3 linked regions of the Alligator mississippiensis genome follow. The protein of the gene in region 3 interacts with the protein of the main gene of each other region in a pairwise test. Links are inferred from orthologs where the notes say so. Each region holds a gene or a part of one and is shown on either strand. Other genes may lie near its edges.

What was found.
Region 1: the proteins of ESR1 (region 3) and PNRC2 interact in a two-hybrid assay, tested with the Homo sapiens proteins (2 studies listed by BioGRID and IntAct). The link is inferred for Alligator mississippiensis from reciprocal best matches to the Homo sapiens genes ESR1 and PNRC2.
Region 2: the proteins of ESR1 (region 3) and TRAM1 interact in a two-hybrid assay, tested with the Homo sapiens proteins (2 studies listed by BioGRID). The link is inferred for Alligator mississippiensis from reciprocal best matches to the Homo sapiens genes ESR1 and TRAM1.

The regions. Positions count from the first base shown.
Region 1 is NC_081829.1:4,429,719-4,437,132, reverse strand, and holds the start of PNRC2 (proline-rich nuclear receptor coactivator 2), read left to right. Parts: upstream 1-4,386; 5' UTR 4,387-4,479; intron 4,480-4,654; exon of another isoform or gene 4,655-5,132; 5' UTR 5,133-5,338; intron 5,339-6,248; 5' UTR 6,249-6,266; coding exon 6,267-6,692; 3' UTR 6,693-7,414. UniProt on the Homo sapiens protein: Involved in nonsense-mediated mRNA decay (NMD) by acting as a bridge between the mRNA decapping complex and the NMD machinery. May act by targeting the NMD machinery to the P-body and recruiting the decapping machinery to aberrant mRNAs.
Region 2 is NC_081826.1:61,158,629-61,166,364, forward strand, and holds the start of TRAM1 (translocating chain-associated membrane protein 1), read left to right. Parts: upstream 1-4,635; 5' UTR 4,636-4,717; coding exon 4,718-4,840; intron 4,841-7,736. UniProt on the Homo sapiens protein: Involved in the translocation of nascent protein chains into or through the endoplasmic reticulum (ER) membrane by facilitating the proper chain positioning at the SEC61 channel.
Region 3 is NC_081824.1:130,605,532-130,613,230, forward strand, and holds the start of ESR1 (estrogen receptor), read left to right. Parts: upstream 1-4,663; coding exon 4,664-5,097; intron 5,098-7,699.

The sequences.
Region 1 (7,414 bases), on a different chromosome or scaffold from region 3:
AGTTTATGGGATAAAAAGATAAAAGGTGGGAGAATGGAAGCAGTATTATCCACCTTTTTAAAGCTAAGGAACTGAGGTACAGACAAATTGCATGACCTAACCAAGGCATCAAAAGAAGTCTGTGGAAGAGTGAGACAATGAATGCAGAGCTTGTGAATCTCAGCCTACTATTTACTGTACTTTTCACATTTTATTCTTTTTTGATCAGTTAAACTGTAACATTCACTTTCCCTTTTGCTTCTAATCTGTTTAATTTTCCAGTTCTTATTAGGAGTTTGCATAAGACAGGGCACAATGGAGAGCTAGGGTACAACTGGAGACTGGCCCCAGCGGTCATTACACTGAAGTAAAGGAAGGACAGATTAGGAGTGGGTGGAGGTTTCTTGGGTTTCATGATTTTATCATTTTTGAAAGCCCCTCATTTATAACATCTAGGAGCAGTTCAGTTCCTGGATGCTAAAAATACCGCGAGGACAAATCTTTTATTTCAACATGAATGGGCCCTTGAGGCAAAAGACAAGCCTGTGAAAACCTAAGCAGAAATACCAAGTTATGCGATTTTATTAATGTTTTTTTTGTAGAACACAATGACACAGCACAGCTGTGTTTTTTTATATGTAAATTAAATTATGAAATCCATTCCACTCATGCTGTGTTAGATTTTAGCATTTAAAAAAAAAAATCTAATTTTGAGAAATAAAAGCTAGTTGATACAGGCCCTTCAGACAAGTTTCTAAAAGTACATGATACAACTGCACAAGGAAATAGAGGAAGGAAGCAAATCAGTTTTATTAAGTTGTCAAATAACTTACTAAGGGATGTTCCATAGCATGGAAACTGAAAACATCTGAACTGCAAAGCCATTCAGAGTAATTAACTTGAACTTTTGTGCTCTAATTAATTATTTTAAAGCCATTCCACTATAAACAGGTTGTGGGATATGTGAGAGCAGGGAGTGAATAATCCTATTAAAATGTAGAGAATATTTTTCTCTTGAGCTAGTATGGGAAACTCTGATATCAATGGTACAAGTTCTGGTTTGCCCAGATAATGAAATATGCAGTTTGGCTGAACAGCTCACTACTTAGTTCAGATCCAGCTGGGGAAACGTTGGATGCCAAAGTTGTTTCAAATATGCTGAACAAGTAAATTCTTTTAGCTGTTTACATGACTATTTTTGTCTTTCAGCACGAAGCACTTATCTAGTATGAAAAATTTACTGTTCAAAATGGAAGGAAGGAGCTATGGGATTCAGTCTGGAGCTTAATCAGAAAAAAACATGAATTTTAAAAGGGTCCGATTCAGAAGAGACGTGTGGGTGTTTCATTATAACTTTGAGAGCACATATTTCAAGAGGGAGCTTGAAAAGCAGTTAAAAAGAAAATACAGTATGTTCAATGATACGAGTATGGGAAAGACCTGAGGCATGCTAGACCAGGAAATGATTAGGAAATAGTTGTTTAACTAGTAAGATAGGCAGCAATATATACAGTTTGAATGAATCCCACGGGGACAGTCCTTGCTGGATACATGTTAGAGTGAAGACACTGTTTGTGCTGAGTAGAAAAAACAATTACAAATACCAGAAGTAAAATGTTCACGTGATAGGACACTATTTGTAACCCTATTTTTAAATGTTTTTAAAGAGGATGACCTGTTAGGTCACGTGAAAACAGCTGAAGGATGAAACAAAATATTTAGCTAAACTTTTGTTGATTTAACAACTTATATTTATATCAGATAGGAAAAAAATGTGAACCCTCACGCTTCAGCACATTGCCTAGATTAGAAATAAACACCTTTTAGGGGTGGAGTATTTTATAATTGTGCATTATGGGGGTGTTGCACTTTTTCTCTAAAGCAGCTGTTTTTTGCCACTACTCAAGGCAGCATGTTCGGTGATTTGATCCTTCGTGGCAGTTTGCTCACTTCCAGACCAGCTCCTATATACAAGTGTGTAGCAGGCTGAACATAGAGAGTGTCGGCTTTTAATATTGCTGTAATGCTTCCCAAGTTTGCTTATGAACAGAAATTGTGCAGTTTGGATTTGCCTTTTTTTTTCCTATCCACTCTGACACCCTATTAGAAAACCAGACTCTTCTTATTCTATTACCATAAATGCCTCCCTAATGAGAACTATTTACATACAGGTGGTGACCCTGAATATAGAAAGACACTGCATTCTGTTCAAAAAGGATCATTGTAATGCTGAGTCATAAATAAAAATGAATATATTGATAACATTACAATTGATACCGCTACAATTCAGTTCTGGTCCAGTTCAAACGAGTTATCTGTCCTTAGGTATTGCCAGAATCAAAGTGAGTCCCTTAAAAGAACAGAACCTTAGACAGACCGAGCCTACAATAGTTATAGAGAACTGAAGGCTTCTTTTATATCACAGATGAATTAATCAAATGGTATTTAATCAACATGAAGTTGATACACATGTGATCAGTGTATGGTCTCAATATCCAGAGCTTGCATCAAACGCTGTATTTCTCATGCATGTTTGTTTTGAGGACAGATCTCAGACACAGAACCTACTATATTATTTGTCTCTAGAGCAGCTGGCAACTTTATTGGGAGTCTTTACTCATGTACTTGAAGATTAAATTATACTCAGACTCGTGCCAATTTAGAGAACTCAGATGGTGTCATGGCACTTACTCTAGATTTATTGCAGTTTGGGCAGAATTTGGCTTTAAATCAGGATATAATCTTGGATACTTTCTTGACCAAAGAGTAATTCCTTTAGTTTAGGATGACACACTTCAAAGCAAGGCTACTTATGCCCAGTTGTGGTGGTGGCGGGGGGAAACACAGGGGGTAGGGCTGCTTTGTTTGTAGATGTTAGTGCTCACTCTGGTAAATTTGGTACTATTAACGGGTGCTAAAATAAAAGCCCTTAAATATATTGCTTATTAATTATTCTGTGCGAGTTCAGCATTGATACTTGAAGGCAAGTTCAAAATGATTTCAACAGAACAAAATCATTTAACAGATGTTGAAGTGTTCTGTAATGTAAATAGCAAGTACAAACATATACCAGATTGGGATTATGGTTGGAAATAGCTAGGCCCCGGAGGCTATGTGCTACATAACATCCTCTCTTTGGCTTGTGTGGAGTACTAGATGAGTTTAGACATGCGGAGAGCTGGGGTCACATACACTTAATATGCCTTTCCTTTTAGCTGGCAACACGCAGAGTTTACAAAAACATTTTAACTTTCATCTGCTCAAAATCAGATTGTGTATTGAGCGTACAGCTCTGCCTACACTACCATAATATGCTTTAGGAATAAGAGCATTTACAAGAGAGAGTTGGGAGATGGTTATCTGCCGAACACGCATACTCAGAGATCTCTTTCCTCTTCCGAGAACGTGGTAACACTTATTTTTGCAAAACTTGTTACACCTCTCTATTGCTCTCCCTGAACGTATGCTTGTTTCAGAAAACATCCAGAACCCGACGATCAATCAAATAACACAATGGTTCTCCGACACGTTGAGTCATACTTGTTGAGAAATACTGTGTTGTAAGTTTATTATGCGTATCGCTGTGAGTAACAGGGCTGTCAACAGCCACGCACGTAACGAAAACCGGAGTGCTGTATAGCTGGGTGGCAAGGCACCAACTCCACACGGGAGGGGGATGGACTAGGGGCAGAAGTTACACCTAAACCGGTTTAAGTTGTCAGAACCTGGTTTAAACCTGCAATACAACAGAAGTTCGGTGCAGGTAAACCCGTTTCAGAATGGCTGAAACCGGTTTAAGATAAACCTGGTTGAACGTGGTATCGGACCGAACCGGTTCGGGTCAGACGGGTTATGAACCGTCTCTCCCGGACCCCCGAGCGCGTCGTTTTTGCGCTCTTCGACGCCGCTCTCAGCTCCGCCGCTTTCACGGACGCGGGAGGCGTTCGGCTTCGCGTCCTAGCTGCCGGTGTCAGGAGACGGTCTGGGAACCAAAACAAATCTCTTCTTCTGAAGGGGACAAGTAGTTTCTCGCCCTCCTGGCTTTCCAGAACGTGGGCCGCCGCTTCCTAACAACTCAGGTGCTTGAAGACAAAGAGAAAAAAAGAGTTTTTGTTTTGTTTTAAACCAGTTCCCCCTGCTCTTTGTGGGAGGGGTGACCCATCTTCCCCCCCTCCCCAGTGCCCAGGGCAGGGGGGGGGGGGGTCTCCTCAGGAAGGGACGACGCCCCCCTCCCTACCCCTCAGCGCTCCCTCCCCTCCCCCTTCCCGACAGGCTCCGCTCCCAGGAGCAATTCAAACCGCCACCGCCAAGCCCCGCCCCTTCCTCCCCTCACGCCCCAGCAACAGGCGGACCCGGCTCCTATTGGCCGGGCCCGTGATGCGCCGCGCTCCTATTGGCTCGCGCCGCAAGAGGGAGGGGCGGGGGGAGCCGCGGCCGTATAGAGTACGGGGAGGCGGCCGCCATTTCGTGTGGGAGCGAGCGAGCGAGGGGGCGGCCGCGGTAGGAGTCCGTGGAGCGGGGAGTGAGCGAGCGGCGGGGGTGGCTCCGCGCATAGCGGAGAAGCGGCGGGACCGGCTGCCCGAGGCTCGGTGCAGGCGGGAGAGGCGGGCGGGGTGGGCGGGGGAAGGAGCCGAGCGCGGCCGCCATGTTGTGCCGCTCTATTGTTGGGGGAGGGGTCCGTCCCGGCGCTGCCCCGAGCCCCCGGGGCTGGGCCCCGCCGCGGGCGCCGCGCCTGCGAGTGGCGCTGGAGGCTCCGCCCCCTCGCGGACCCACGAGCGTTTCCCGCACGGCCGCGGCGTCAACAAGTGGATCAAATGCTCGCATCGGAGCCCGAGGAGAGACGCGTTTCCGTGCGCTGCGCCAGGCCCTCCCTTGTTTGTTTAATTAAAATGATGATGATTATTTTGTGTGTGAAGAAACAGTAAAAACGCAGCCTCACGGAAACGAGAGCGGCTGTGCAATGGCCCTACGGAGGATAAATGGTCTTGGACGTCGTCCGTCTTTTGTTCGCGAACTGTCTTCGCCCCTTTGTCTGGGGCGAGGGAGCGTGCCCTGCCCTGCCGGGCACAGTTTCAAACCCAAGACATTTTTCAGCGATCAGCTGTTTGTTTTCTTTTTCCCCGCCCAGGGTCAGTTTTCGCTTCTCTTTGCAGCTGGGACTTCTCACCTGGAGCCTGTTTGCTGAGAATCCGATGTGGGGCTCGGCTTCGTGGCTGGACACGGCAGATCGGCCCATGAAAACGTCTATCCCCAGCCAAAGGAAGAGGTCCGGCAAAAGACAGCACCTCCTTTTCCAGGCTTGGCAGCAGAAGAGGGGACGGGAGGTGGCGGCGGTAGAGTCCGAGAAGAAGACTGAAAGGTAACGGGGAGAGCGGAGCACGAGCCGGCGTTTGGCCGTTATGTCTCGGCCAAAAGTGCTTTGGGAAGTAGCTCTTTGAAATTGCGCTGAAGAATTCAAATGCTTCTCACTCTTTTCATAGTCTCGCATCGTTATATGAGCACCCTCCAATAATTTTGCTGTGTTTTTTTTTTTTCTTTTTCCCCCCACCTCCCCAGGGAGAAAATAGCATGTTTTGATGATGATTATTACTATTATTTATTCTAATTTTAAAAAGTCATAGCAGCCTCTCTTTATTCGTGAAGGCAAGTGGCACAGGGCTGTTAGCTTGGGGGTTTGTGACTGCGGTTTTGATTGTTCTGAAGAGGTTTTTTGTAGAATTAACGCTGAAGTGACCCAGGTCACTCCACTGTTTTCTGGAAAAATAAAAGGTAGCATTCTGATAAAACAGCTGTTCTGGAATGGTCAGCTGCGGTCCCTGTGTAGAGGTTTAGGCAAAGTTCACTTATCACCGATTGTGGATGTTCTAGTTCAGCCATGAAGGGGCTGAGCTGTTTACAGCCTTTCTACCTAGCCAGCAACTGCAGACTGTATCATTCATGGATACTGCGTGAGGACTTAGTGTGAAGAAACACTCCTGGGCTGTGGACTGATTTAAGCAATCGCAGTCCGGATGCACGTTCTTGATTGAAGTGTTTCCAAAACAGGACTTGACAGTGTTTGTTCTGTGAAGCGCTGGGCTGTCTCAGTGACAATAACAGTCTTCTGTTGTGAAGGGCAGGTAGTACTAGAGGTCACCGAACTCCAAACATTTTGTTTTAACATTGGAATGCATTCATTGAATTAAGCTTGAGTTAGTTTAAAAAACAAAACAACTAAATGAAAGGCTCTCGTGGAACTTCAGTAAGTGTTACCATTCCCTCTCAAACAGGTGACATTGAAGTTGAAGATGGGTGGTGGAGAAAGATTCAACATTCCAGTTCCCCAGCCTAGAAATATTAACAAGAATCACCAACAACTTAAAAACAGGCAAAAAAGCAAAGATCAGAATTCTCAGATGAAGATTACCTATAAGAAGAAAGAAAGGGGGCATGGATGCAACTCATCATCTGTTGCATGGCAGGCCATGCAAAAAGGAGGAAAGAATGCTGTGCACTTCCAAAATAATCAGAATTGGAATCCTGCTTTATCAAGTCCCAACACACTTTTTACATCTCGAACCAATCAGAACTATGCTGGAGCAAAATTTAGTGAGCCACCTTCACCAAGTGTTCTTCCTAAACCTCCAAGCCACTGGGTACCTGTTTCTTTTAACCCTTCTGATAAAGAAGTAATGACCTTTCAACTTAAAACATTACTAAAAGTCCAGGCTTGAGAGAACTTGAAACACATTTAAAATTACAGGGTTTCAAATTTGAGAATGAGTCAAAATACATAGTTCCAAAATGCACTGTTTCTCATGAGATTGCTTTGTTGCATATAAAAGTTGTGTCATGACGAGACACGAGGACTTTTCTTGAGGATCTCAAACTTCCACCTCATTCAGGTTTGGTGCATTTTACTGTGAAAAACGTATTTACTTACCATTATGCAACCTAATCAGTTTTTTCAGTGGCTATTAATGCCTGCATTTACTGTATTGGTCTTAAATTGAACTGTTCTCAAATTTGAAGTAATGCTACTTAAAAAAGCTGGGTATCTCAGTGGGTAAGAGCTGCTGTTATAAAACCAACTTTTCTACAATGTAATGCAGCAATAGAAAGAGTATGCAACTTACAGAACACTATGAAATCTTTAGAAAACAGAACTACTATCTTTTACACTTAAAGGTCCATCAGTCACATGAAGTCTTTTTAAGGCTAATTAGCAAGGTTTTTTTCTAAGCAAGCCTCTATCTGGCTCCAGTTGTATCAGTGAATTTTTACTTGGCATTTGTCAGTCATCAGTTGACAGGGCAGACTAACATCTGAGCCTGTGACCAAGACTTTGACTTACTCCAAATTTTAGGGGAGGGGGGTGGTAAAGAAAGTCAAAGGAAATAACATCTTGAGCTTTATCAAAATATAGCAATGCATTTATCTAGAACCTGACCAAGTT
Region 2 (7,736 bases), on a different chromosome or scaffold from region 3:
TTGCCTACACAGGCGAGTAGGGCGCAATTGGGTTCTCATCTCCATTCCCAAAATACCAACACATCCTGCCTGGTATGTGTGGCATAATGGGAGGCATACTAAATAGGACTGGTGCTCAAGTCCCATGGTGCCTTGTCTATCCTCAGCCTGAAGCCCTTTATAAATTATTGGTGTGGTCTAAAAATGTTGTAGAGTAAAAATACACGGAGGGGAAAATAGAGTAAGGTGGTCTTCTCCAGAAGAATCCTAAGCATAGAAAGTCCAGGTTGGATGAATGGACTGTAAGGTGGATAGAAAACTAGCTGGATCATCAGGCTCAAAGGGCAGTAATCAATGGCTCAATGTCTGGTTTGCAGCTGGTACCAAGCAGAGTGCCCCAGGGGCTGGGGCTGGTTTTGTTCAATATCTTCATGAATGACCTGGAAGATAGGATAAAGTGCATCCTCAGCAAGTTTGCAGATGACACCAAGCTAGGGGGAGTAGTAGATGCGCTGGAGGGTAGAGCTAGGATTCAAAGTGACCTAGACAAATTGGAGGATTGGACCAAAAGAAATGTCATGAAATTCAATAAGGACAAGTGCAAAATCCTGCACTTGGGATGGAATAATCCCATGCACTGGTAAAGGCTGGGGGCTGACTGGCTGGGCAGCAGCTCTGCAGAAAAGGACCTGGGGGTTACAGTGGACAATAAACTGAATATGAGCCAACAGTGTGTCCTTGTTGCCAAGCTAACAGCATAGTGGGCTGCAGTAGTAGGAGTGTTACCAGCAAATTAAAGAAGTAATTATTCCCCTCCATTTGGTACTGAGGCCACATCTGGAGTACTGTGTCCAGTTTTTAGCCCTCCACTAAAGAAAGGATGTGGATAAATTGGAGAGGGCAGCAAAAATTGTTAGGGGGCTAGGGCACATGACTTATGAGTAGGCTTGGCAGGATTCAAGTTTATTGATAAACATAGATAAGCAGGAATTTCACCTGACAATCACAGGCTGATGGAAAAAAATACTTCTGTTGGTAATCATCAATATTTATAGAAAAAGGAAGAAAAAAATCAGGGATGGGAGTAAGGAAATCTGGGGCAGCAGATGCCATGCATGTATACACACAGAACCTCAGTTGTGCCACCCATGCACTGCTCCTCTGGCAGCAACTCGGACAGCCACTGCAGGAGCTGGAGTTGTGCTGGGAAGGGCAGGTCTGTTGGCAGCTGGGAGCCCAATGCCACAGGCTGCTTGCTCGCCCAGGTCCCAACCAGGGATCAGGTGCCAAACTCTTGGTGAGCCCAGGCCAGCCCATGTAATTGGGGCAAGGGCCAAACCTCTGCCTAGCCAGGGATCTGGGTTTTCCATTTCCCATGGAAAAATGGGGTAAACCGCGGATTTTACCTTTTACTGGAGCCAAACACGGACTTCTCATTTTACCAGAGAAACCTGCGGATTTTGCAGTTTTGAGGAGCCCTCTGCAGGATAGCAGAGTTCCAGCCTGGAGGGTGTTAGAAGGGAGTGTTGGAAGAGGGTGGTCAGGCAGGGGGCACCATGTACATATATGCACATGGCTGCCATGCATTCTGGAGAGCAGCTCCTGCAGGTAAGTGTGGGGGAGAAGGTGGGGATTGAGGCCTCCGTAGGGAGGGAGGGAGTTGAGTGGGGCTGAGGCTGCATACTTGGGGCCCAGGGCTGCAATGTGCAGCCGCAGGGCCTCAGCGGGGAGTGGGACAGGGCCACAGGCTGCTTGGTATGGGGTTTGTAAGAAAGAAGTCACCCAACAGGCAAATCACATTTTTGAACACTTGAACAACAAGACTCATTTGAAATTAAAAGCAAGTCAAACAAAAACAACACAGGTTACGATGGAAGCCTGTTTGGGAAGAATGAGACAACGGAAGGAAGAAGCAGCGGATTTCCTTCACGATCTGGTATGCATGTTGTGCTTTTTGTATTAATGTGGCCCAGGGTTCATGCTATTTATTTGCTCTGCTTCACAAATATACACCAGCACATTGTACTTGCTCAGAATGTTGTCAGCTGGAAGAAAAATACTTATCTGAAGTTTGCACCCACTGCCAACCAGGGATTAAAGAACTTTTGAGTGATGAGAAATTTTCTTTAGTAATTGAAGAAACCCCTGAGCTTGCAGGACAGCCAGCAATTAACACCCTTGCAGTGTTCTACTGTGATAAAAATAAGTCTGTAAATAAAATTCAGTTAAAATCCTCTGTTCTTCAGTGCAATGCAGGGATCATCTCAGTTTGGATTCAAGATGTGTTGAGAGAGTACAGCCAAATGTGAGAAAACTGTGACAATCAACAGTGACTCCACAATATACACGCAAATACCTTGTGAAGGACTTGAAAGAAATGCCTCCACATCTACTGCAGTAACTGCACATTCTATGTGCATTGCTCATCTTTTGCATGTGGCCATTGATCTTGCATTAAAAACAAACAAGTTCCACAACATTAATGGATTTGTGGTACCTTTTCTAGGAATATTTAAACATCTCGACAAGCAAATGTGACCATTTTTTATAAGTCTGTGCCAGAAACAACACAAGTCCATTGGATTTGCATGTGTCCCCCCCCCCCCCTTCCCCATTGTGCAACCTCACTAGTTTTCCTGGCTTGCTGCAGCAAAATGCATTCATGCCTATTGGGACAGCGTGACAGACTTTCTTACTAAACAACAAGATGTAAATAAAGAAAACAAAACTATGCGGGATGGTCAAGGAAAATGGAAACCAATGAGAACTACTGCAAGGTATCTTTTGCTCATGTGGTTTTGGGGAACCATATTGTTCATTTGCAAATGGAAACAAATGCACCCCTGATACATCACATTAACTCTCTGCTTAACTGCTATCGACAAGTTAATGCTGATATAAATAATGCTTTGAAAGAAGAACTAGGGGACAATGCGCTATAGATAGCCACCCCTTTCATCTGCAATGAATGATTTGCTTCACAATTTCAAAGCAAACTGAAGGCAATCCTATCCTACAGTGTACCAGACACGTTATGGATTGGGATCTGCCTTTGCTAACTGTAAAGTGTTTGACCCATTTATTGAGGCTCAGATGTCACACAGTTATAGTGACTCTGAAAATATTCTGTGTATTTTCACTTGCAAGGCTGACGAGTTCAAGTACGACTTTGACCTGCCCATGGCACGTGAAATGCCATTATAGCAACACAACAGTACTTGATTATTGGAAAAGTGAGACCCATTTACTGCCTGTCATGGCCCATGTGGCATTATGTGCACTCACAGTGCCAGCAATCTCAGTGTTTGCAGAAAGATTATTTAGTTTGTTCAGAAAAGTTCAAGACAATATTGCATGCGCCTCTCTGAAGACTGACTTGAACAGCCCAACTTTTTTGTACTACAATAAAGACATAGATTTAAATTTGGAAAGCTTTTGAAATCTGGATTAGTCTGCTGGATCTAGCAAATTATGCATTCCAATAACTAACAAAAAAAGGGTTTAATTTATTAATTTTTTCACTTCTATGAATGTACTACCAAATGAACAGAATGATTTAAAGTAGGTATACTGTTCTGATTTATGGATATTTTCTTTTTATATTTTAATGTGATTTTATAAAGCTTTTAACAGTATGTTGTCATTAGGCATGGGCGGCAGATAATTTAGTCATTTCACACAACCCTGAAAAATTAAATCCATAAAAATCAAAAGAAATCATGGGCGACTGATGTCATCTTAGTCAAGGGGGACGTGTCCTGTCAGCAACCGAGGGGGGGTGGTCCCCCCATGGCCAAACCCAACCCTCAGACAACCCCTATGTGTCACCACTGAAAGAAATGCTTTAAAAATGTTTATTTTAGCTGTCGAAACTATTAAAAAATAAAAATTGAGTTCTGCCTCACTTACTTAGGAGAGGCTGAGGGAACAGGGTTTATTTATTCTGGAGAAGAGAAGACAGGGATTTAATAGCAGCCTTCAGCTACCTGAAGGGTGGCTCCAAAGAGGATGGAGCTAGAGTGTTCTCAGTGGTGGCAGATGGCAGACAAGGAGCAATGGTCTCAAGTTGCAGCAAGGGAAGTTGAGGTTAGATGGTAGGGAAAAACTCCCTCAGGAGGAGGGTAGTCAGGTACTGGAACAAGTTACCCAGAGAGGTGGTGGAAACTCCAGCCTTGGAGGTTTGTCTAGGCGGGTTTTAAAAAGCCTGGGTTGGGATGATCTGGTTGGGGCTGGTCCTGCTTTGAGCAGGGGGCTGGAGGCACGTCCTGCGCCCCCTCCCACCCCTCATTTGCTGCGCTTCTGACCGCCCTTCGGGAGCTGGCCAGTCACACGGGGACTCTGCTCCCCTCCGTTTGGATGCATTTCTGCAAAGGCTTTTGAGCAGCTCCTCACGGCAACCGGGCGTGGTTCAAGACCGCTCTTCCTTCTGGCAGCGGGGAAAGCCTGGCGAGCGGCCGTGCACAGGACCCCCACCGCTGCCCCGCCCGCGCGGAGGGCTCCTTAGTTTGCTCTGCACCGCGCGAGGGGTGGCCCTGCTTCGCTGCGCTCCCGGCCGCCGGCCGCCAGGGGTCGCTGCGGGCTGCCGCTGCCGGGGGCGGCGCGAGGCGGAAGCGGGGCCCGGGGCCGCGCGCGGGGCGGGGCGGGGCGGGGCGCGCCGGGCACCTCCCCTGTCCCCTCTGCCTCTTCCTGGCCGCGGCGGCAAGGGGCTGCGCTAGCGGCAGAGCGGCGCGGGCCCGCCATGGCGATCCGCAAGAAGAGCAACAAGAACCCGCCCGTGCTGAGCCACGAGTTTGTGGTACAGAACCACGCGGACATCGTGTCCTGCGTGGCCATGGTCTTCCTGCTCGGCCTCATGTTCGAGGTGAGCCCTTGTCCGTCCCTGCCGCCCGTGCCCGTGTCCATCCCGTGGTGCCCCGCGCACGCTCGCCCCGGCGCGGGTGTTGCTGAGCCGTCGGGGCTGTGGGGGGCGGGGCCGGGGCCGTCCGGTTACGTGGCAGTAGCGCGGCGGCCGGGGCGGGGTTGGGCGGGGAGGTCCCGGCCCCCCCCCCCGCCCTCCCGTCCGGCTCGCGGAGGGGGGGGGGGGAACGGTGGTGGTGATGACTTGCACAACGCCCCGCGCCCCCCCACCCCCACCCCGGGGCGTAGGCGTTGGGGAGCCTGGCAGGTGTCAAGGAGGCGGGTGCCCGGGACAGCGCTGAAGGCATGGGCAGAGCCCGGCGGGGGCTGAGGCTTCACACGCCCTCAATCTCCTTCTCCCAAACTGATGCGTTGCATGGGGATGCGGGGGCTCTCGTTTTGCCTCTTCTGGTTCCATGTAGTTGTTGCCTGAGGAGGCCGCAGCTCCCTCAAATTGGGCCCGAGCAGGGAGTTGGACTAGGTCAGTGTTTCCCAATGGGCGGGTTGCGAGAATATTGGAAAGGGTGGCAAAAAAACTTTAAAAATGGATTCTCCTTTAAAAGCGACACGTGGGGAAGTGTGGCTTTTCTGGTGCAGGCTGGCAGAGCTCCAGCCTGCAAGGCTGCTTGGAGGCCCCCCCACCCTGCGCACTGGGAGGCTGGGATCTGGGGGTGCAGCACGGTGGCTTAGAGTGGGGACGTTGGGTTGGAACTGGCTGTCCGTGTTTACAAATGGGCCCTGGAAAAAAAAATGACTGAGATCCTCTGGGCTAGATGACCTCTTGCGGTCCAGTCCCTTCCAACCCTCGCTTCCTATGATTCGACCTGCCCCATTGCTCCGTGGCGTTTTTGAGCAAGGGAGCTACTTTTTCCTTTGCTATCTAAATGCGGCAAGGGCAGTTTGCTTCTGATGGGAAGAGCGGATTCGTTTGGGCAAAAATCTGAACGCGGCGGCTTTTCAGGATCTGTTTTCAGCACATTGTAAGTGTTGTGTTGGCACCCAAGAGTTCCTTTTTGTTAGCATCTGTCTGGTTGGCAAATACCAGGTCTAGACTAGAAGGGATCGCATAGGTTGTTGCAGGCAAAAGGGCCCACTTGGGTTCAAAAGGATCTGCAAGAATATCTGTTCTTCTGCCCTCCCTCTCTCCCCACATGCAGACACTCCACAAACACCAGAGCTGCCTGACATAAACTGGGAGGCTCTTGTACAAAAAACTCAAGAGCCTTTCAGACTGCTTTAGCAGAGAGCAGGAGAGACAAGGACACACGTGATGCCCTGGGGTCGCTGCAGTGGCAGGGATTTTTTTTAGGTAAAATATGCCACATAATCCTAGGAATTGGAGCGTGCTACAGAAAAGCGGGTGAGAGGTAACAACTCTTGCTTGCTATGGCACATAAATCTCCATCTTATTGATATATTTGAATAGGAAGGTTGTGGTTGTACAGAGGTCCTGTTTACCTTTTTGACTGCTTTTTACTCTTCTCAAAACCAGTGGTATAGTATCTTGTTTGTGCTGTTAACTGATTTTGCTAACGTTGTAAACCTATTTGTATACTGGAATGTAAGGTGTTTTGGGGTTTTTTTTTAATTTGCTGGGGGAAGGGGGTGTAATTTGCAGTTCTTTCAGTCCCCACAAAAAGGTCAAGCTCTGACCAAGCTTTTCCAAGCTCTGTAAACTTATTTTGATATGGAACAAATACAGAGTTACCCCACTCAGTTGTACCTCAGTTGTACCTCAGTTGACCTTGCTTCCAGCACTTACTACTTTCTTCAACGTTTTATTCCAAAATGAAAGGATTTCTCAGAGTCTGTCTATACTTGTTCTCTTAAATAGGAAATGCGTATTTATGATTTTAAGATATTTTGACCTTTGTAAATTCACTGTCCAATGTCTAGGGCCAAATATTGGATGATGTAAGTGTGACTAATTGCAGAAGAGGGGATTGTTTAGATTCCTTAAATCTCTTCATTTTCAGTGTTTTAACTTCTTTATTCTTGCTTGTTTTTAAATGAAATGGTTGGGCCTGGGGATACTAGGTGGGCTCCACTGAAGCCTTTTCCAATATGGCTATTATTAACCACAGTTTTTGCTTGAAAGTTGGAACAGATCTACTTTTTTTTTTTTCTTTACTGACTACTCACTTCTCATAACTTGTTTCTACTTATCATGGTTTTACTTCTTGCTCAGCATACATAGTGTCACTGCTATAACTTCATTCCATTCACCTTGCTTGTATGACGCTTAGCAGTTTCTGAGTCTGTTAGCTATTTTCCTGAACTGGTAAACATAAAATGGTCTATCAGCCTCTTCATTCTGTTCTTTCTATTGGTTCTCTTCTCCTTTTTCATCTGTAGCATGGGTGGTGTATTTTGAAAATGGGGTTTGACCTCAGAATGGCTTTCAAAACTGGCTAACGTATTTGCCTAAAAATAGGTGAAACTGGGTTGTAGGAAACAACTGACTTCCTTCAGATTAGCTGAATCACTAAGCTAAATTAGTGTGTATTAAGAAAGGAACTGCAGTTCACATTATTAGTTTAATATAGTAGAAAGGGCTAACTGGTAAATGTGCAGTATTGGAGAAGCCTGAGAGTTGTGTTTTAAATATTCTGAAAATGCTCAGTTCCACAAATAGCCTGCCTGTATTGTATGAATTGGCTTTTGGGTAAGGCTGTTTATTCTAACTTGAAAGTCAGTCCAACGGACTCTGAGATGATAGGAAGTTTCTTTCCTTAATTTTGTCTTGAGTGTGTGTTTCTCTCCTGCCCTGCTGAGATCACATAGGTGTTTTCTGCTTAATAAATATGTTGCCAATGGTCCATTGATAATTTAGAACTTGTAGTACTCATTTTTGTTCTTTT
Region 3 (7,699 bases):
GGATCTTCGTATTAGGCTTTGGGCTCACCATGAAAGTCAGCACATGTATAGCTAGTTTCTGCTTTGATTTTCTTGTTGAAATGAAGTGTATACATTGCAGTTACAGGGTGTGTCTACATGAGATTTTTACTGTGCAGTACACTAATTAGCTGCACAGGAAACGTCTCACGTCTACACATGCACCCCTGTTAGGCTGCAGTAAAGTCACTTACTCTGCAGCAGGATCGCATTTGTAAATACAAGTCCCTTGTAAATACAAGTACTATCCTGATGCAGAGTAAATTAGTTTACTGCAGCCTAAGAGAGGCATATGTGTAAACGCGAGGCATAAATACAAGTACTTCCCTGCTGCGGAGTAAAAAACTCTACAGCAGCACATATGTAAACACTGCCCCAGCTGCGTGGGGCATGAAGGTGCTTCAGTGCAGGGGCTGCCTGCTACCTAGCCCTACAGTGAAGCATCCTCATTCCACAGCCAGCCCCTCCGCAGCATATTGAGCCAGGTTGGAGTAGCCCCGGACTGGCAAGCTGACTCCCTAGGCCCCGAGCCAGCTGGGGCTGCTCTGACTTAGCTCAACGTGCTGTGATTCCAGGCGTATGTGAAGACATGCACCCAGGAACAATAATCTCTGGAGCGATAAGCTCCGGAGTTTATTCATATGCATTAATATGCAAGTGTAGACATGCTCACAGAAGCTTGACTCTCCTTTTGCAGTACCCCTATGTTTCTCTTTCCCCTACTTGTTCTTGTATTAGCTTCTTTATCCACTTTTGCATGATAACTACTTTTATTTGCATATTCCTACACTTTGCAAATTAGAAAAAACTGATCTAAATGCTTAATTTAGAAATGAATGTCTAATGTCACTATGTCACTAATGAAGCTTTTCAAAATAAATTCTCTTTACATTTTATGAGAGAGAGAGAGATGGCCTTGTCCTGTATGTGAGTTCTAGGTAAATATATTGCAAGATAGCCTTTTTCAAATGTGAGAAAAAGGAGACCAAGATATTTGGTAGCTTGGCTACAATTGAATGTGCATTAGTAGTGTAAGCACTGGGTCTGAAATCACTAGAGTTTATATTACTTGATATTTTAAGCACTTTTGATTTATATGAGTTAAGTAAAGGCATTGTAGCAAGCAGATGTGGGCTAAATTAACCATTTAGTTAATTATATATATCTTTAATGTGCAGACTGTAAGTGGCAATTTGTGTTTTAAAAACTACCCACATAAATGTTAGCAAATCACATAATTATTTTCAGGATGTTTGTAAGATGGGCTACTGTGCCCATTTTTTATTAAAAACTGTGGGATCTGAAGCAAAAGTGCCAAGTACGAGTATTAGGTATATTTCCCAGATGGGAAATCTAAGAATCAATAAATCAGAGTGACCAGGCTGGATTTGTACATAGCAGAATAAGCTCTGGCCTCTAAGCACAAAGACCTTGTTTCAAATACTGGGTCTTTAATTTTTGTGTGTGCAAGATTGTGCACAAAACCTTTTAAACGTGTTACACCTATCTGTAAAATATGACCTACAACTTTACAAATTGCTTTGAGATTTACAGAAAATAGTAAACGTATAAAATATTACAAGTTATTAGAAACTTTTCACCAGTCTTATGTTCTGGAGCCTATACTACCAGCTGCAAAGTAAACGACTTTTTTTCAAAAAATAATCTCCTGAAACAAACTGCAACAAAGAAAATCTGGGGGCAACTTCTTTTCAGGTTTGGCGGTGTCCTGAAACAGAAGTTGCTTAGTCCAACCCCCTAGATCCTCACTGAAGAGAGCCACTCCCACTTCCCTTACATTCAGGTGCGGTAACAAGCTCACTTCTAGAGTAGCTGTCAGGGCTTGCTAAGCCCCTTTGCAACAGAACAGGTACCTTCTAGGTAGGCTGGGTGTTGTAGGAAACACTGACAACTGGTTACAGCTTAAATTTCTTTGCAGATACTCTGCATCAGTTGCATAACTGTTACTGGGTAGGTAAAGTTAAATTTAACTTCCATGTTTTCATCCTTCTTTTGTACCCTGCCCTGCATGCCATCACTGCAGCTCCATACACTCGCCTATACAGAGCTGATACGGAGACTTTGAACCAAAGTGTAATAAAGGGGAAAAGACGGGGTTCTGTACTATTGTTTTCACTTGTTGTACCACACAAAACTTCCAATGCCGTTTAGCAAATAGTTGTAAATGATGGAATTTATCTTTAGTTTTCTAACCCCCTGCCCCCCATGGCCAATTGAATGAAAATGCCATTTGTTTTTGTTTTTAAACATTCAAATTTCACAGCATTGTGTTCAAAAGTCAAGTTACTTTTGTTTTTGCAACTATAGGGCAATGTAACATTTATTATATGTTGATATCATATCTTTCAAATAAAACAATATAAAATCATACAGTGTTTTAAATCAAACCTTACATGTACAAGTGTAGCATATTTTAGAAATGGGTACTACCCTCCTCATAGTAAAATTAGACATAATTCTCAAATTATGCAGTATAAGAGCAGATCATGTTAGATAATGTTGTGGTTTAAATATATCTGATATATGCCAAATGACTTTGCATGCAGTAACTAACCTTAAACTTGTAAACTGCCATGCATTATGGTCTGTGTAGCACAGCTACTGGCTCTTGTATTCAGGAAGCTGCTGAGAGCTATGCTTGCTTCATGAGCCCTCGCAAAAACTGACATGCACACTGCACATGCACATGCATGCACGCACACACACACACACACATACACACACACACACTCTTTCTTACACACATTTGCACATTTTGACATATTTTCAGAATATTTCTTAGAAGACTTTCTGTACTGCTGGGTATGATTGTCTGATCTTTTTTTAAAAAACTAGGTATGTGTTTAGTTCAGCCTTATTTAAACATTGTTATCTATTTGATCAAAGTCTACAGTCTGAAATTTGAGTTGGGAGTAGAAAGTGGGGGGAATCTATCAAGTACATATACATTGAAGTGTATGCTGCTGTGTGTATAGTATGTATGCAGAGTTCGAGCATGTTTCAGTGAAATCTTACAAGTACAGGTTATTTTTTTCTTGTTTAGCAAAAGCTCTGATATGTTATATTAATAGTTATTTTCTTTAGGTTAAACCATTTATAGTAAAGTTGATTTGAAACTAAATCATGTTAAAACTTGCAAAGATATTTCTATACTTCTTTAAACCCTATTTAATTTGATTAACATGATTTTCAAATGGTTGTCTGATGCATGTAGTTATTTTGGTATGATTTATATTTATATTAATACTCAAGCCATGTTAACTAGAGCCCTGTATTTGTGTGTTAGGTATTTAAACCAATCCATTGTACCAACTGAACCACAGACCATAATAGCATTGCTAGAGAACTTGCAACAATTTTCAGAGGTTTTCATTAGATTGGTGCGGGACCAACAGTTTCTGTTAAGTTAAAATACAATGAAAATAGATTGCCAGAAGACACGTGCCTGCCACACTTTTTCACTATAATTCTGTTTTTCTTGCTTAGTCTTAAACGTAGCTTTAAGTGGGACATTTTTATTTTATTGAAAAATTGGACCTTTTGTATTTTTTTGGATTTTCTAAATTGGTGTCTCAGTTGAAGTGTCCTAAGTGTTTATCACTAGGAAATCAGGAAGAAAATACTCCTATTCAATTTGTTAATATTCAATTCATGTTTCACATAATTAACTCTATTTTTGACCAGCTATCTGGGATTCAATATGGCAAGGTTTAATTGATGCTTTATTTCATATTTAAGCTTATGTTGCTCTGATTTTACATACTGAACAAGAAGCAGGCAGAGATGTACAGGGGAATCTTAAAGGATTTTCTTTTCTTTTTCCTCTTGCATTCAGCTGCCAGTTAAATAACAAGAATAATCATAATTCTTTTCTCCTACATAGATATAGTAGATCCATTAATTTATTTTAAATGGAGTTTTACTGACTGACTAGCTGCATACACACACACATGTACACACACATTGCACTCAGCCATATCTCAGTTACAGCATAGTCCTAGCCAGGGTCATTACAATGTACACATTACATATTTCTAGCAAACATGAAAATGAATCAAACGGGAGAAGAGATAAGCAGAGATAGATTGGAGCCTGGTGGGAAAATAAAAAGCAGTAATCTGACTGACCACGGGACTAGTCTTCCTAATTTGATATAAATACTGTTTTGCCTTAAGCACTGTAGAGCATCAGGGCCCTGTGAAGTGAAAAATTAAACAACTAATAAGAGTGAAGTAAAGTGTAGTAGAACAATTATTTGGTATCACTCCAAAACTAATTGCTTCTGAAGTGATGTTTAAACCAATGTCAGCACAAGGCAAGAGTTCCTGGCCTATGGCCAGCACCTTTGTAATGCATATTAGCTCAGATGAGAAGTACTTAAAAGTTGCAGAGAAAGGAGAGAGAGAGAGAGGGGGAGAGGGAGAGAGCTTTCTCAGTGCTAACGCTGTATTTGAATGTATGCTCCTCCTTGCTGAGATTACATGAATACCTGTGCAGTGCTGCCTTAACATGATATTTGCGGAGCCTCAGACTAGAATCTGTTCTTTTTTCAGGTGGGCTACCAGCTGCTGATCTGTCTGCTGACAATAAAAACAGATATGCCACTTGCTCGCTGCCATTAACAATGACCATGACCCTTCACACCAAAACCTCTGGAGTTACTCTGCTGCACCAGATTCAAGGCACTGAACTGGAGACTTTGAGCAGACCTCAGCTGAAGATTCCCCTAGATCGATCGCTCAGTGAGATGTATGTGGAGAGCAACAAGACAGGCATTTTTAACTACCCAGAAGGCACCACTTATGATTTTGCCACTGCTGCTCCAGTGTACAGCTCTACTAGCCTCAGTTATGCCCCTACTTCTGAATCATATGGATCCAGCAGTTTGGGAGGGTTTCATTCACTGAACAATGTCCCTCCAAGCCCAGTGGTATTCTTACAAACTGCGCCCCAGCTCTCTCCGTTCATTCATCACCATAGCCAACAAGTACCGTACTACCTTGAAAATGATCAAAGCGGCTTTGGAATGAGGGAAGCTGCCCCTTCAACTTTTTACAGGTAAATCTTGCTCTTGCCTTATTTTAATGTGCTACGGAGTGCAAATTAGAATTGAGACACACATATATTGAATTGGCTCTTTTTATAAAAGACTGCATAATTTGATTAGTGGAGAGATAGGCAAATTATTAGACTATAAGCGATAGCATGATATAAAACAAAATGGCTGGTGTTTGGCAATAGCGTGATCGGTGGTGTAAATGTTAAAAACTGTATGCATGGGAAAAAAATGAACAGATGTATGCCTGGGGAAAGCAAGCCTAAACTCAGAATCTGTAAATGAACGAAAACGTAACAAACAAACCGTGAATGAAAGTAAGAGTCTGAAATATATTAGAAAGGAATTTATCACTTTTGGTCAAGTTTGAATCCCACGTAAGTTTAGTTGTTTGTGTTTAGCACTGTTTGGAAAGTGAGAGCGTATTTTTGCGGTTCTCTCCTCAGCGTCTTGTTTCAGTCTCCCCCCTCCCCCCCAATAGTAGAATACATTTAGAGCAGTTAGGCTAAAAATATCCCATTTCAGAGCAAGGGGGAATATATTGCATTCCCATTAATATTTTTGCACTTACTAAGACATATAACTATTTTTTTGGATGAGGTGGTGGAATGTGGCTCACACTGTAGCTGCAGAGAATTCATAAATGTAATATCTCATATAGAATGTCATTAAGAGATGCCAGGTCTCCTGTGTCCCTTTTAACGTGGAAACAACAACAAAATATCCCGTGAAACATAATGGAAATGTTTTGCCTTATTGTAAAAATTCCAGGAATGCAACTCACTCATCTCAATTTTAATGTTTGTATGGTACTATGGGTAACATAGTTTTGTGGCAGAATATTGTGTTAGATTATGGTGAGTTGATGTTAAAAGCTGTTTTTTTCCTTTTCTGATATATGTCTGAGTCAGTTTATCTGGGAAGTGAAGGTCAGATCGCTAGCAACAGAGTGCAGACTTAAGGAAAACCGCTGCTCCAGTTTAGAAACTCAGAGTTTACCACTGTTTATCATGTTGAATAGTACTTTATGTCAGTGGGACTGTTCATAGCTTAAAGTCATATTCAGCCCAAGTAAGGATGGCAGGATCTGGCCCCCAAACAGGCGAAAAATAGCAGTTAGTGAAAAGGATGTGTTTATCAGGTGGAACAGAAAACAGCACAAAGTTTGGCAGAATGAGAAGTACCAATAATGACAGGACAATCATACAGAGTAAGCTGGCTCACTTGATAAGCTGGATTCATTCAAATAAAATATATTTTAATATACCCAACAGCAAAGTTATATTTATAGAAGTAAGGAATGCAAGCCATACTTGCATAATGTGGGGATGTATCTTGTAAACCTGTAACTCTGGAATAGGATTGAATGGTCATTTTGGACAAGCAGTTTAACATGAGCTTGCATTATTATACTGCTGGGCCAAAAAAGGGCTAATGAGATCTGTGGGCACCTAAAGAGTAATACTGCTACTGGAATGCTGTGTCCAGTTCCAGTGTCTATAATTTGATAAGGCTTTTCGCAGTTTGGAAAGGGTGCAGAAAACAGCCACAAAACTGATTGGAGAGCTGAAGAAGATGCCACATTGTGAGAAATTGGAGCTAATTAGAGCAATTAGGTTATTGAGAAGAAGGTTGAGGAGCTGTTCACAAAGAATCAGTCCCCCCAGAGGGAGAGAATATTGGGTAACAAAGGGTTCTCTAATATAGAGCAGACATGTGTGATAAGAACCTGTGGTGGAAGCAGAAACTAGATATAAATAGGAAATAATGCACTCTTGTCATATTGAGCCTGATTAACCATTGGGTTAACCATGGACAACCACTGGATTATTCATAAACTGCCAAAGAATTGGTGAGTTTTCTGTTTCTGGATGCTTCAGAGCAGCATTGGATGCCTTTCTGGAGGATCTACTTTAGTCAAACACAAGTTACTGTGCTGAGTAGATTAATTAGGTGATGTTTAATCACCTGTGATATACAGGTTGTCAGACCAAATGATCTAATGGTTCTTTCCAGCCTTAAATTCTATAAATGCACCTTTTCACATGGTCAGAGCAGAGTGTAATGATGAAGTTTCTACTATAGTAAAAGTTTGATTGACTGAAGTGTGATTGTCTATACTGATGACCTTACACTGACAGCCGTCTGAATGACTTGAATTAAATTGGAAAAAGCACTGCTGTTTCTGTATCTGTAGGGTTGGTCTTAACAAGGCATAGCTCTGAAAATGTTATAGCTCTTTACATCTTCCTTGTTTTAGCATAAGTCTCAATCATAAATAGCCCATTAAACAAAATAATTGTAATAGGTATGCAATTTAAGGAGGCATATAAAGATAAAATCAGGGGTTGAAGAACTAGCACTTCCAAAAAGAAAGAAGTGGACAAATTTCACCCATTTTTGCCTTGATTTACTTATTGGACTAGCAGTCCCATTGACTTTAGTGGGAATAGTTGTGTAAAGTGAGCAGCAGAACAGTATGACCTGGCATGTATAAACTTAACCTGGGAATTAGAAGAAAATGTGAAACTACCAGAGTAGTGAGGATTTACAAAAGCTTTCCAATAGTCATAGTAAAGGCAAAAAACTTAATTACTTTTAAGA